Linked DNA regions of Medicago truncatula. The main gene of each other region encodes a partner of the protein of the gene in region 2 in a complex. Links are inferred from orthologs where the notes say so. Each region holds a gene or a part of one and is shown on either strand. Other genes may lie near its edges.

Region 1 (7,170 bases), on a different chromosome or scaffold from region 2:
TATTTTATTCATTATTTTTTTACTTAAAAATATCATTAGTCCCTGCACTTTCAACATTTTTTTATATTAGTCCCTGCACTTTGATATTAGTCCTTGAACTTTTTTTATTTTTAAATACTTTCAATAAAATTATTATGTTTTAATTATTGTTTTGTTCATTATTTTTATTGAGAATGATCATAAAAAAATAAAATCAAAAAATCTTTGTTTTTTCAAGAATCTAATCACATATCGTTGCGACTCTCAGTGAAGAAATTTGTTTTTTCAAATCAATTATTTAATCAACTTAAAAAATTGTAATTTGTTAAGTATTTTACCTTTTTTTTGTATATAAATGCTACATTCTTCTTTTCTTTTAGGAATTTGTCTCAAAATTAAGTTTGTTTTTTTCTTTTTGTCAAGTAGTCTAGTGGTTAAATAAATTCACCGTAAAGATGAATAAGTGAAGTGTCCGAGATTCAAACACCGGCCCCTGCACATATTGTATATTTTCCCTTGCCAAATGAGCTAAGCTCATGGGGATAAATTAAGTTTGTTTCTATTCCAAAGAAAATCTACTTACAAATATCCAAGAACTACTCGTTGTATATATCTTCCATATCTAACAAAATTACATATTGCGTATGAAAAGCAAACAATCTCTAAACAATTAGGTTTAGAAAAATGTTACATCGACATCATTTATTTTCATACACCCTTGTACACCCCATGCAGTAGGAAGAGGGAAGAGAAGATAAAAGAGAAAGTGTGCTTGTGTGGGGTCCACATGACCGTGTCAGATTTTTGTGTGGGTGTCAAGGGTTGTATTGCCACCTAAGGATGTTTATGTATCATTTTTCTTAGGTTTAAGGCTTTAGGTTACTCACGCCTAATAGCTTAGATACTTAAGCAAAGAGAATAGAGTTTAAGATAATTAAAATGATTAGACAAGTATTGCCACCTAAGGATGTATATGTATCATTTCTCTTAGGTTTAAGGCTTTAGGTTACTCACACCTAATAGCTTAGATACTTAAGCAAAGAGAATAGAGGTTAACTCCCTCTGTTCCTTTATATGTGTCGCTTTTGCCCAATTTGCTACAACCAAGGCAGGGCATAACTAGCTCTCTTTTTCCCTTTCTACCCTTAATACTATCATTAGTGTAACTTTTCCTTGGTACTCCACGTTCAACAGAGATGTTACTCGAAATGCATTGCTTTTATCAATCAACCGTTCAACTTAAATGCATGGCTCACATTTTTTTGACAAACGCATGGGAAGCCCAAAAGCCAAATCCCAAAACAAACTATCAATAAAAGTAATCACACGTACTTCAATTTTTTTTCTTCTTTTGTTTCTGAATTTTTAAAAGGAGTAACAAATCAACCTTGTCTCCAACTTAATTTTTTGTTTGAACTTCCCTCCAACTTTTTTAATCAAAATTTATCCCTCCCACCAAATAAAAAGTAAAATCACCAATAGTTGAAGTATATATATGGCAATTTGCAGATTTTATAACTCATCAAATATGGCATCAAACATTAGTATATTTTCATTATGTGATATAGATTTAAATGTTGAATTTACACCTTTGTTAGATCTTAATTTTGATGCAGAAGTAATCTTTTCTCATGAAGAGGCTGAAGAGTTCAGCAATGATATTGGTATTGTATTTGTTCATTTATGTGCATTTAGCTTTGTCACCTTTGTTACACTACTAAAGTTTTCTTATTCTTCATTTTTCTTTAACGTGTATGAATGCTGAGACAAAGTCTTTAGTCATGATTTCTTCCTTAGAGTAAATAGTCAGTTACCCCCCGAAATTATAAGTTTCGTCAATTACCCCCTTGAAATTAACAAAACTTAAATTACCCCCCTGAAATTGCACAACGTTAATCAATTTACCCCTATGTCAAATTTTTCTGTTAGTCAACATAACGTTTTGCAAATACTCCCCCTGAAGTTTTGCACTTATGTGCAAAATGCCCCCTAAACTTGAAAATTTATATTTTGTTTTCTTATCCTTAAAAGTGATTGTATTATCACTGAATTTTGGAGCATATTAGCTAAGTTTTGACGATATACAACCATATATTGACAGTATTGTAGAATAAATTAGCAGTATTTGATAAATCCTACAATAATGTTCAAAACTCAAGAATATTTACAAAACAAACATAAAAATATTTCTTTGTTCCAACATCAGATGTTTTTTCTTTTTCAAGTTGTCCTTAACCCCATCAGAGATCAAAAGGATGGTGGCTATCATGTTTTTTTTATTCTCTTAAAAAAAACATAATGAAATATACATAATATAATATTATTACATGGTTAATGTTTGATCGTTTAAAGGAACATATATGGTTGTATACCGTCAAAACTTAGCTAATATGCTCCACAATTTAGTGATAATGCAGTCACTTTTAAGGATAGGAAAAAAATATATAATTTTTCAAGTTCAGAGGACATTTTGCACATAAGTACAAAACTTCAGGGGGGGTATTTGCAAAACGTCATGTTAACTAACAGAAAAATTTGACGGAGGGGGTAAATTGATCAACGTTGTGCAATTTCAGGGGGGGTAATTGAAGTTTTGTTAATTTCAAGGGAATAATTGACGAAACTTACAATTTCAGGGGATAATTGACTATTTACTCCTTCCTTATTATTTGTTCATTTATTGTCCAAATCATGGAGTATTCTCTTTAGCTTATTTGTTCATGTACGTGTACTCTCGAGTTATTTTCTTTAGTTCAATGATCCTTCCTCTGTTTTTCTTTCATTGTTGTACAATGAACCTTCCACTTTTTTTCTTCATTGCTTATCAAAGCAATTTCTTGTTTCATGGATATTTCCTTTTTCATGTTCATACGTTGGGTGTTTTTTTTTCTTGGAATAACATAAGCATGGTTAGTGTACTGTACATATTAAAAGTGAAATAGTTGTGGAGCTCTATGTATTGGAACAATGAAGAGTGGGTTTATTGCATTTATTAGCTGAAAGAATTTTTGTAGTCTCGATAAAAATGTGTCTGATGGAGTAGAGGAATTGGATTAGGCTAAATGATACTGTGCAATATATGTGTCTGATTTAGTAATTGAGAGGTTAAGGGTATAATTGACATATTACAATCTTAAACTCTAAAAGTGATACTTAAGCAGGAACAATTTTTTTAGCAAATGTGACACTTAAGAAGGAACGGATGGAGTATTATCTAATTAAATTGACCCATTTTATTTTTCAATACAATAATAATTTTTTTTTTCAATTATAACTCTAATTAATACCACTTTCATCACTTTTAATTTAATATATTCTACTTTGCATTTATAATAAGGAAGATTGCACTAATACTTAATAAGACATTCAAAATTATTTTTCTTTCTCTTTCAATTATACATTTTTTTAATATATATGAAACGAAAAAAGAAATTCATTTAAAATGTGACGGAGGGAGTATTAAATAGCTTATTACAATCCTATACAAATCATAAAATATCTCATCATTTAAATGATATATTTATATTTATCTAAAAAAATAGATAAAAAAAATTTCGGACACAAGATATCAAAATTGTGTGTCGACATATAAGTGAATCAAAAGAAAAATCCAATCATGTTTTTTCTTCCAAAAAAATCCAAGTATGTCAAATGAACAAAAACGTTCATCTTCCCTTCCTTCTATTTCCACTGGTTCATCAGTACACGTGCAAATTCCTCAATCTCACATGAATCTTCGCTCAATCTTTCTCTCTCTTCCCTTATCTCTCTCATACACAATCCAAAACCACCGTCACGACACGTGATCCATCACTTTCCAACACGTGTCATCCTTTCACATATTCACCAATCTTTCAGCATCGCATTTTCTGGTATCTTCACGCGTAACACATATCTCACCGTTCATTTCTTCAACCAATCACACCATCTCCACCGTTCCTGTACTCTACCGTCCATCATTCCTCCACGCAACACTCTTACGCGTGTCACTTAACCAACGGTCATATCAAAAATATTAATTTTTTTTATCTTATCTTCAACCCCCCTCCCTTTCCTTATAAACTCTCATCTCTGCTTCTTTCTTTCCATTTCTAATACCCGTGTCCAGCAAAGTAAAACACAAGACAATTTTTCATACACTTTTTCAAATTTCTGCTATACATTTTCTTCCAATTCTTTCAAGTTTGATGGCCTTGAACATGACTCAGATTGGCAGTCTCGTCGGAACACCGATACCGATTGAATCAACATCAACAGAGCCAACAACAGCTTCCATGAACGCAGCAGCAGTATGGAAAACACCAGCAACGAATCTACGTTGTCAAGTAACTCGATCAGAAGTTATAGAAAACGGATTATCACCACCTATGAGTCCATGTAGATCACCGGTACTAAGCGGTACCGGAATCAGACCAGATCTGACATCGGCTGCTCAAGCATTTACCACTGAGGTGGAGAACGAATATGTATCGGGAGGGAAGACGAAGAAAGAGAAGAGTGGAGTCCCGGTGTATGTGATGATGCCGTTAGATAGTGTGACGATGGGGAATGGTGTGAATAGGAAGAAGGCGGTGAATGCGGCGATGGCGGCGTTGAAGAGTGCTGGAGTGGAAGGAGTGATGATGGATGTGTGGTGGGGATTGGTGGAGAGGGAGAAGCCAGGAGAGTATAATTGGGGTGGGTATATGGAGCTTATGGAAATGGCGAAGAAACATGGGCTTAAAGTTCAGGCGGTTATGTCTTTTCATCAATGTGGTGGTAACGTCGGTGATTCCGTCACGTGAGTCTCTTTCTTCATCCTCTTTTAGAATAAAAATAATTGTTGTTATTTAATTTAATTAATATTTGCTAACTATGCCAGTAGATGATAATTATATTTAAATTTTTAGTTTAATTGATAATGGCTAGGATGAGGATAGCAACCATGTTAAGAGAATATAGGAGAGAACACTCCACTTAATTCTATTTTATCATGAAAATATTTTAGAAACAAATATAACATAGTCCACCTTACATGTTTTGTGACAATAATGTGTTAATTTTTTTATGAAATTTGGAATTTGAAAACTTTTGTATAAAATTTGTTTTTAGTACAATTTTTTTTTTTGCAATAATTTAGTACTAATTAATGTATTTTCATTTGATTTATTATTTTTAATTTTAAGGCATTAATTTATTTTAGACATTAATGAGAATTTTATATTGTCACTCAATTATAACCAAAGTAACATTGAAAATATTTGACTTTAATCATAATTACATATAAAATTGTTGTTTGACTTTAGCAATAATTGATTATAAAATCGCACTAATTTGATTTAAGGTATTAATTTGAATTGTGATTATGATTTGTGGATCATGTAAAAAATTTACACCCATTTTGTTTATCAAAATAAAATAAAGTGTGCCTTTACAAAGTCCTAATTAAAAATTCAAAACTAAATGTTTAGAATTTTATTTTTTAAAATTAATTTTAGTGTCTGAATATGTTCGGTTCTACGTTGATAACAATTCATTTAGTCAAACCTCTAGAGTTAGCCACATATGATAAGAATTTATTTAGCACAACCTCTAGAAATAGCCAAATATTATAAGATCAATTTACAATTTCTACAACCAATTTCGGAAAAAATTGAAAAAGAAAAAAAATAGTGTTATAGACGTTCTCGTTTTAGCACTCTTTTATTTTTTATTAGGTGAAATTTATGTGGATCTTATATTTTGAAAATGGATCTCACATAAAGAGGTGAGACTTACATAATTTTTTACATAAAAGTTAATGTTTAAAGAGTTTTAGAAGGAGAGTGTTATTAGCATTTCTCATTAAACTAATCATACACTTAATTAGAAGGAAATTTAGTACTCCCTCCGTCCCTAAATAAGTGACCTATTTGACCATTTTACACAGATTAAGAAAAGTGTAAAGATGAAAGAAAGAGAGTGATACTTTTACTGGGTTGCCCTTGTCATTATTTTGAAACTTTTTCACTTTTAAGTAATGATTATTTTTTTTGTTCCACTACAAACTTTAACATGGGGACCACAAAAAGTATTTATAAGGGGTAAATCTGTCAAATTTTGCCTAGAAATCTGAGAAGGTCAAGTATTGTGGGATAAATATTTTTTACAAATAAGTCACTTATTCAGAGACGGAGGGAGTACCACCCAATTGTTTTTTGGGTCTTGCTAACCAATGCCTTCAGGCAATGGTTAAGGAAACAAAAAATAGTAATTTTACATTGAAAACTACAATTTTCAAACTTTTAAAAAGTTGAATTCATCACTTTTTACTACTTTCCAACACAATATTTTTATTATTGTTCTCTTAACCAATGCCCTGAAGGCACTATTTAACATTTGCCTTGTTTTTTAGTTTTTGAGATATCTCAAATTAGATTATAGTTGTAGCAAGAAAAAAGTTTCAATGAAAACATATTATAGTTGTAGCAAGAAAAAAGTTTCAATGAAAACATATTTGATGTGGTATACCAGTCCGAGAAAGTGTTTTGGTAGATAAATAATCAACTTGTTGAATGGAATATACGGATATTATTACACGGCCTTTGATGATGATTTTTATAATTCTTAGTTATGCTAATGCTCCCTCCGTTTTTTAAATATAAGTAAAATTGACTTTTAAGGTTCATTCATTTAATGATGTATGTGGTTTAAAAGTCAATTTTGCTTATATTTAAAGACGGAGGGTGTATAATTTTTCATACATTAGTCGAATCTGATGTGAGTTTAAAGCTAAAAATGAATGAATTTAAAGTGTGTGGTTTTGTGTGAAGATGAGCTTGCCATGTGTTTCGGGGTTGGACTTTGTATTTTATTTTTTTTTTGCTTCTAAACTTGGTTTTGCTTTTCTTTAGAAGGGAAAAGACTTCACTGGGAAAAAGTAGTTGGAACTTGGAATTGAATCTTGAAAATTGCTGTATTTTGAAATATTATATAAATGTTAATTACATTTCATTTCACGATTTTTCTTTATTGTAGTATTTTGACATTCTTTTTAAACTAGTGATAAAATTATTTTCAATATCCTAACTCAATTGACAAAATATTAAAATTGTTAGGCTGAATAGTATGATCAAGATTCGAATCTTGACCCCTCGCCCTCCCCTCCGCTTGTGTGTATGATTGAATTTCAATGGTTATTTATTATTTTGTCTATTTATTATTTACGTAAAA
Region 2 (7,002 bases):
GTTTATTTACTAAAGAAAATTATTGGTAAAAGTTAGACAAATAATATTAGAATGTCTTAAATATATTAAGCAATTGTTTTATCAAAGGACCATAATGATAAATTATAGTTAAATATTTAAGCAATATAGGCAACGACTATAATGCCCTAAATAATAGTTGTATGATTAATATAGAAGTAGAATGATAAAACAACATTGAAGATTAATTAAGAAGCAAAATATTCTGGATAAATTTAAATATTAAACATATATAATTATTATGATCAAAATGTTCTGGATAAATTATAAATGAAGTTTATGATCGTGATATTGTGTTAGGTGTTTAAAACAAATAGTAAACTATTAAGGGTAAGAATATCACATACAAAAATTATCATGGTTCATCCAAATTAGGCTACTAGCAGTCTTCACACTTCATGTGACATTGTCCAATACAATATCCAACTATTAGAAACTTCTGAGTAGCACCATCTAAAACATCATAAGAAACACTAATATATACATTAAAACTATATAATTTCATATAATTTTTTTTGAGTGAAGTCTCATTTTGATTATTTCCCAATTTTCATAAAGAATAATTTCCAGCCCTAGTTTATAATAATCTTTCGATATTATATTGCACTTGAGAATTTAGAAATTTATGATTATGTATTAAGAATATATATATATATATATATATATATATATTCGTTTACAATTGTATAATTTATCATTTTTTTTATATCTTTTTATGCTTATAGTATTATATTAAAAATCACCCAATTGATAAAAAATTATTATTAAAATAACTCTTATAAATTAATATTATTTTAAAATAAATTTTGGAACGAATAAAATCCATGCATGATAAGCTGAAATAATTATCTAATGACAATGTGATATTTTCTTTTAAAATGATAGTTTGATCATTACACATTCAAAATTTGTTGCTTCAAACTATCCAAACAACATTAACTCATAATATTTACTTTTTTTGGTAGATAGAAGAGATGACAAAGTCATCATAAACTCACACACACAAATTGAAGGTACCGAGGTTCGAACTCCGATCATGATGTCCGGCCTAACAATTTCTACATTTTTACTAGTTGAGTTAGGACTTATGAGACTCATAAGAATTATTTCTAATAAAATGTAGGCTAAACTGCAGTTTTAACCCCCTAACTTTCACAATGGTGCGATTTTGGCCCCCTATTAAAAAAAATTAAATTTTAAACCCCTATGTTTTAGCCCCTTTGCAAAACAGACTTTTTGGTCAATTTTGACCAGGTCAACGCGGAGGTGTCATGCCACATGTGTATTTTCCCATTTATTTTTATTCAAAAAGCCAATTGTGTAATGCTTGAAAATTTTAGTGGCAGCACATTAAATTAAAGTGGCAGCACAAGAAATTTTATTGACCTTAACATCAATTTTTCTACTAACATAAATTCAATCAAAAGGAATAAATTTAACCAGGACAATGGAATGGGTTTAATTTTTAATATTTTAATTTATTATCATTAACAGTATATTAATGAACATAGAAGAAATACTTTGTTAATTAATAATGTCAGGAGTAAATATTATCAATCATTAATAGTAAATTAATATAACATAGAAGGAATAAATATTAAGATTGGGCCTGATTTTGCTATATAAGCCTAATAGAACATTTGCCAAAAAAACCATTTAAATACTCAGATTTATTCCACGCGTGGGACCCGCCTGCACAAAAGCAATTTGATGGCAGCATGTAACCTCTCCCACTTTGCCAACAGATCCTGACCGTTTGAATTTAATATTAATATATCAATGGTTCAGAATTGCTTTCAGCTCTTATATGCACAACTTTTGCATGGTGCACAAATCTTTTCCTTATGCATGCTAAACCCCACCCAAAAATATTAGTAACTCCAATTACTAGATAAAGTAGTGTATTTTTGTAAAAAAGAAAAAGATAAAGCAGTGTATTTTTACTTTGTAGTTTGCCCAACTAGCTGATATTGAACTATAGATTGCATTGTGTGCAACTTTAACTGCCAAAAATTCCAATATAGAGGTGCACTGCACAACTTTCTTTACAAAGAGGTGAGATATTGGGTTTGAACAACAAATTTGAGGGGGTTCAAGTATTAAAATAACATAACAAATAGCGGTAATTTGAAAAAGTGAGAGGGTTCATTTGAATCCCCTAAAGTTAATGTAGCTCCGCCCCTGTCCATGATACTCGTGTTTTTGACAAATACTAACCTTAACTTTCCGCATCCTCCTCAAGGTATGTTATATTGTCTTATTGGATATGATTTGTTATATTAACAATTAAATGGTTGTCATATTTTAATAATTACTATGTTTTTAGGTAAGTAATACTTGGTGAATTATGATTATCCAACACCAATAGGGTACATTGGTCCCTATAGATATAAACGTTATCATCTTCCTAATTTTAGGCGTTCAAGTCGGTTCGAAAATCATAACGAAGTATTCAATTACTACCACTCAAGTTTAAAATTCACAATTGAAAGAACTTTTGGGGTATGGAAGAATAGATTTGCAATTCTGCGTCGCATGCTGAAGTTCAAATATGAGACGTAAGTTTAAATAGTTGTCTCAACAACGACAATACACAACTTTATTAGAAGATGAAATTACAAAGTTCAACTAACTTAGATCAATTACAAAGTTTGAATGTAGCTTCTTCTTCAAAAATGGATCATGCTCGAAACTCAATTCGTGATCAAATTATAAAGCATAACGAGATGTATTGGATTAGGATTCTAGAGATTTTAAAAGACTTTTTAATTACGAAAAAGTCTTGTGGTACTCAATCAAGACTCTTTGCAACTTAAAAAAAGTCTTGTGGTATTCAATCAAGACTCTTTGTCATTTTAAAAAAGTCTTGAGATATTCAATCAAGATTTTTCATTACTTAAAAAAAGTCTCGTGGTATCCAAAATCATTCAAATTTCGAAGGATTGTTTAATAAATTAGATTTTGATGGATTTTGTGGGATTTTCTAGTGAAATTTTAGTAAGAAAAAGTCTTTTTTCATGAGATTTCTTGAGATTGTTTTTCTTTTAAAATTTTACTATCTCTCTTCTCTCTCTCTCTCTCTCTCTCTCTCTCTCCTCTCTTCCCTCCTCTCTCTTAAAATAATAGTCTGTATTGAGAATGTTATGATAGAGAGTGTGTTGTAATCATTTCTTTTAAAATCTTCAAGACTTTTTTAAGCAAAAATTGTCCTTTAAAATCCTAATCCAATACACCCCCCAATAATTAGTTTGGAATAATCTTTCGATATTATATTGCACTTGAGAATTTAGAAATTTATGATTATGTATTAAGAATATATATATATATATATATTTTCTTCGTTTACAATTGTATAATTTATCATTTTTTTACATCTTTTTATGCTTATAGTATTATATTAAAAATCATCCAATTGATAAAAAAATTATTATTAAAATAACTCTTATAAATTAATATTATTTTAAAATGAATTTTGGAACCAATAAAATCCATGCATGATAAGCTGAAATAATTATCTAATAAGAATGTGATATTTTCTTTTAAAATGATAGTTTGATCATTACACATTCAAAATTGTTGACTCAAACTATCCAAACAACATTAACTCATAATAATTACTTTTTTTTTTTTGGTAGATAGAAGAGATGACAAAACTATCATAAACTCACACATACAGAATGAAAGTATTGGGGTTCGAACTCTGATCATGATGTCCGGCCAACAATTTCGGCATTTTTACCAGTTGAGCTAGGACTTATGAGACTCATAAGAATTATTTCTAATAAAATGTATGCAAACAAACATAAATCAATCTACATTCAACTCACTTATAACGAAAATCAATTATCTCAAACTCAATTCTATCAAAATCAATTTTCGTCGAGTACAAACCAAATAAGAACAATTAGTTGTACTTACCGACATGATACTCTAACTTGCTTGGTAGTTTTGGCTATTAGTAGTGTAATTTAGTAAACTACCGTTTAGAAACCAGACGGAGACATTGGAATCTGTCCAAAAAGACACTCACCTCACATGCTGTTTGTTGACCCCAATCTCCCCGTGCCGTGTCTTCTGTTCTGTCTTCCTCAAAACTCACATGCTTCACTTCTTCACTTCCATAATCAACGCTTAACAGTAAAATCCACTTTTTCTCTTCTCTTCTCTTCTCTTCTCTTCTCTTCCACAACCATGCTTTCTCTCCAATTCAATATCCACCATCTTCCTTCACCTCAACTCCTTCGCACCAGTAACATTTCTTCATTCTCTCCCACCTCTCTCTCACTCTTCTACAACAAGCACCATCTTTTTCGGTATAATGTTAGAACGCTAAAAAACTATAGGGTTTTTGCAATGTCTGGTGATAATGACTCTGCATTCAAGATGAACCTCAATGAGTATCTTGTTACTCTTGATAAGCCTCTTGGGATTCGGTTTGCTCTTACTTCTGATGGGAAAATCATTGTTCACTCTCTCGCCAAAGGGGTTAGTAAAGTATTCACTCTCTCATTATAAGTATCTCATTTCATTTGTTCAAAATTCTGCAGTGATTTCAATGATAAAATGAATTTTATCTACTAGTGGAGTAATTTTGTGGACTGAGATAAAAAAAAAAGGGTAAATTAGTGAAAAAATAACTTATGTTTTATTGAGAAACATTGCAAATGAGACACTTATAATGATATAGAGCGAGTAACCTCGTTGCGTGTTGTGCACAATCAATGATTCATTTTTATTTTTTGTGATTTGTGTTTACCACAATTTACACGGTTAAAATAGTTTAGATCATAGTACAAAATGTCGGAGAAGTAATATGAGATGTAATCCATTGAATTCAAGTTGGGTGGTTGAAATGGAGAGTGCATCAAGTGTTTTATGTGATACGAAAATACCACTCAAGTTGAAGGAGAAATTTATCGAACAACTGATGGTTGAAATGGAGAGTGCATCAAGTGTTTTATGTGATACGAAAGTACCACTCAAGTTGAAGGAGAAATTTATCAAACAACTGATTTATGGGACAAACTTTGTCCCATAAAGATGTTGGGCTGTCAAGCACCACCACGAAAATAAATTAATGTAGTAGAGATAAAGATGTTGCATTGAGTGTGTGGCAAGACTGGATGAGATAGAATTAGAACATTAGAGAGGGAGAGAACTGGAGTAGCACCTATAGAAGAAAAGATGGTGGAAACTATGCTTAGGTGGTTTGGGCATGTAGAGAGAAGACCCGTAAATTCTGTAGTAAGGAGAGTAGATCAAGTGAAGACTAGTCAAATCACTAGAGGAAGACCTAGAAAAACTATAAGAGAAACTATTAAGAAATATTTAGAGATTAATGATTTGGATAGAAATATGGTATATGATAAATCATTATGCCATTGTTTGATTCATGTAGCCGATCCCACTTAGTGGGATAAGGCTTGGTTGTTGTTGTTGTTGTTGTGATTTGTATTGTTTTTGTAGGGTAATGCGGAGAAGTCCAGGATAATTATGGTGGGTGACACTTTGAAGAAAGCCGGTGATTCCTCTCAGAATAGTCTTGTTGAGATTAAAGATGTTGGAGATACACAGTATGTGTTCTGATGTTTTTTTCTTTTGATTTAGGACAAGTTTGGTTGGTGAACTTATGTTAATTTGGGTTTAATGTGTTTTCAAATTTTAGTGTCTATAAATTAGGGACTAAAAACATGCAACTTTGTATAGCTGAGACTGAAAAGTAAGTATACTAAAAACAAAATTCTGAGATGATTATGAGTTAAAAATATATTTATCTCATTAATTTTTTATTGCTGAGAAATATTTAGCCAATTACTGAAATGCTAACAAATAATCTTTTAAAAAAGTCTCATTTAAGAAATTTTTGCTACTTAAAATGAAAAGAGATAATTCCCTTACTACTTCATCCCAAGTCCGAATATTACTTTGACTATATTGTAGCTGTCTATTGTGATGCGGTGTTCTTGTCTCGAACACTAGATGAAATGTGTCCTAAACATCAGTTTATAAGTGGGGGCAATCCTCATCTTACAAGCTGGATTTGTAAGAATGAATGAAGCCCAACCCAAATTCTAAGAAAGAGATTACTGAGGCATGCACATTTCTACTGCCAAAAGCTAATCTCCTTTAAAGAACAAATGGTCTCTCTCTGCCCACAACTAACTCAATGATTCTCCCAGATACCCCTCCCCCTTTCACCTGTTCACCTTCTATTATAACAACAATCCATAACACGAAATGATCATTTTCTCTTTGCCTCATCAGAATGATCTTGGGCAGCTAATGTACTAATTGCCCATTTGGGCCCACATTATCATTTGGGGTTGTAGCAAGTCTTTATCTAAACTTAAAACATGTGCAAGAGTTGGTTTATAGTACCTAGAATTGATTAATTATGATTTATAGCAGTAAGAAAAAAAGTACTAGATTGGCCCTCTGTTGTAAGATATTATAGAAAGATGCAAAGTTTTTTCTTTTGGGTGAAATGACTCAAAGTTGCTCTCCCATCATCATCATAATCTATTCTGTTCATCAGTGTTTTGTTTTCATTTTTTTCAGTCTTTTGGTTTCCTCAGGAAGGTGCTAAAGGAGCAAACAAGTTCTTTTAGCTTGGTTCTTGAGAGGCCCGCATCTACATTTCCCATTCAACTGCTGCATAATAAGACGAATGATCTTGAAATAGTATATAATAGAGGTCGAGTTCCTGTTGTCACATGGAACAAGACACTATTAGCATCAAATTTACAACCATCTAGTGATAGCTGTGGGAATTCTGGATTTTCGACGTTCAACTCAAAGTTTCTTAATTCAAATGGAAGCAAGTTATTGAGCAATCAAAATCAACATGCCATCACCCACGGTGAAAGAAATTCCTTAACTGAACAAACAATACAACTTGCTTGCGTTTTCACTGACGAAGCGAGTAGAGATGGAGATTGGGCTCACGGAAGTTTTCCACTTGAGGAATATATTCAGGCTCTAGAT

The links.
Region 1: the proteins of phosphoglucan phosphatase LSF1, chloroplastic (region 2) and beta-amylase 1, chloroplastic are in contact, whole or in part, in a cryo-EM structure (PDB 8J5D), measured with the Arabidopsis thaliana proteins. The link is inferred for Medicago truncatula from reciprocal best matches to the Arabidopsis thaliana genes LSF1 and BAM1. Residues at the interface, in NP_566139.1 of Arabidopsis thaliana: Met72, Asn73, Leu74, Glu76, Tyr77, Met78, Val79, Arg112, Ile113, Met115, Lys122, Leu131, Arg157, Phe266, Pro267, Glu270, Tyr271, Ala274, Leu275, Arg277, Ser278, Gly280; in NP_189034.1 of Arabidopsis thaliana: Glu208, Asp212, Thr235, Leu236, Pro237, Val238, Lys240, Gly241, Arg242, Thr243, Gln246, Asp250, Arg253, Tyr306, Ser309, Ser310, Lys312, Ala313, Glu316, Thr317, Tyr318, Trp362, Gln365, Met366, Asp369.

The regions. Positions count from the first base shown.
Region 1 is NC_053047.1:35,874,266-35,881,435, forward strand, and holds the start of beta-amylase 1, chloroplastic, read left to right. Parts: upstream 1-4,166; coding exon 4,167-4,759; intron 4,760-7,170. UniProt on the Arabidopsis thaliana protein: Beta-amylase activity. Can use p-nitrophenyl maltopentaoside (PNPG5) as substrate only in reduced form. Can play a minor role in the starch degradation and maltose metabolism in chloroplasts during the night. More active on phosphorylated glucan.
Region 2 is NC_053048.1:13,234,021-13,241,022, forward strand, and holds the start of phosphoglucan phosphatase LSF1, chloroplastic, read left to right. Parts: upstream 1-3,994; 5' UTR 3,995-4,053; coding exon 4,054-4,512; intron 4,513-5,484; coding exon 5,485-5,591; intron 5,592-6,593; coding exon 6,594-7,002. UniProt on the Arabidopsis thaliana protein: Starch granule-associated phosphoglucan phosphatase involved in the control of starch accumulation. Participates in the regulation of the initial steps of starch degradation at the granule surface.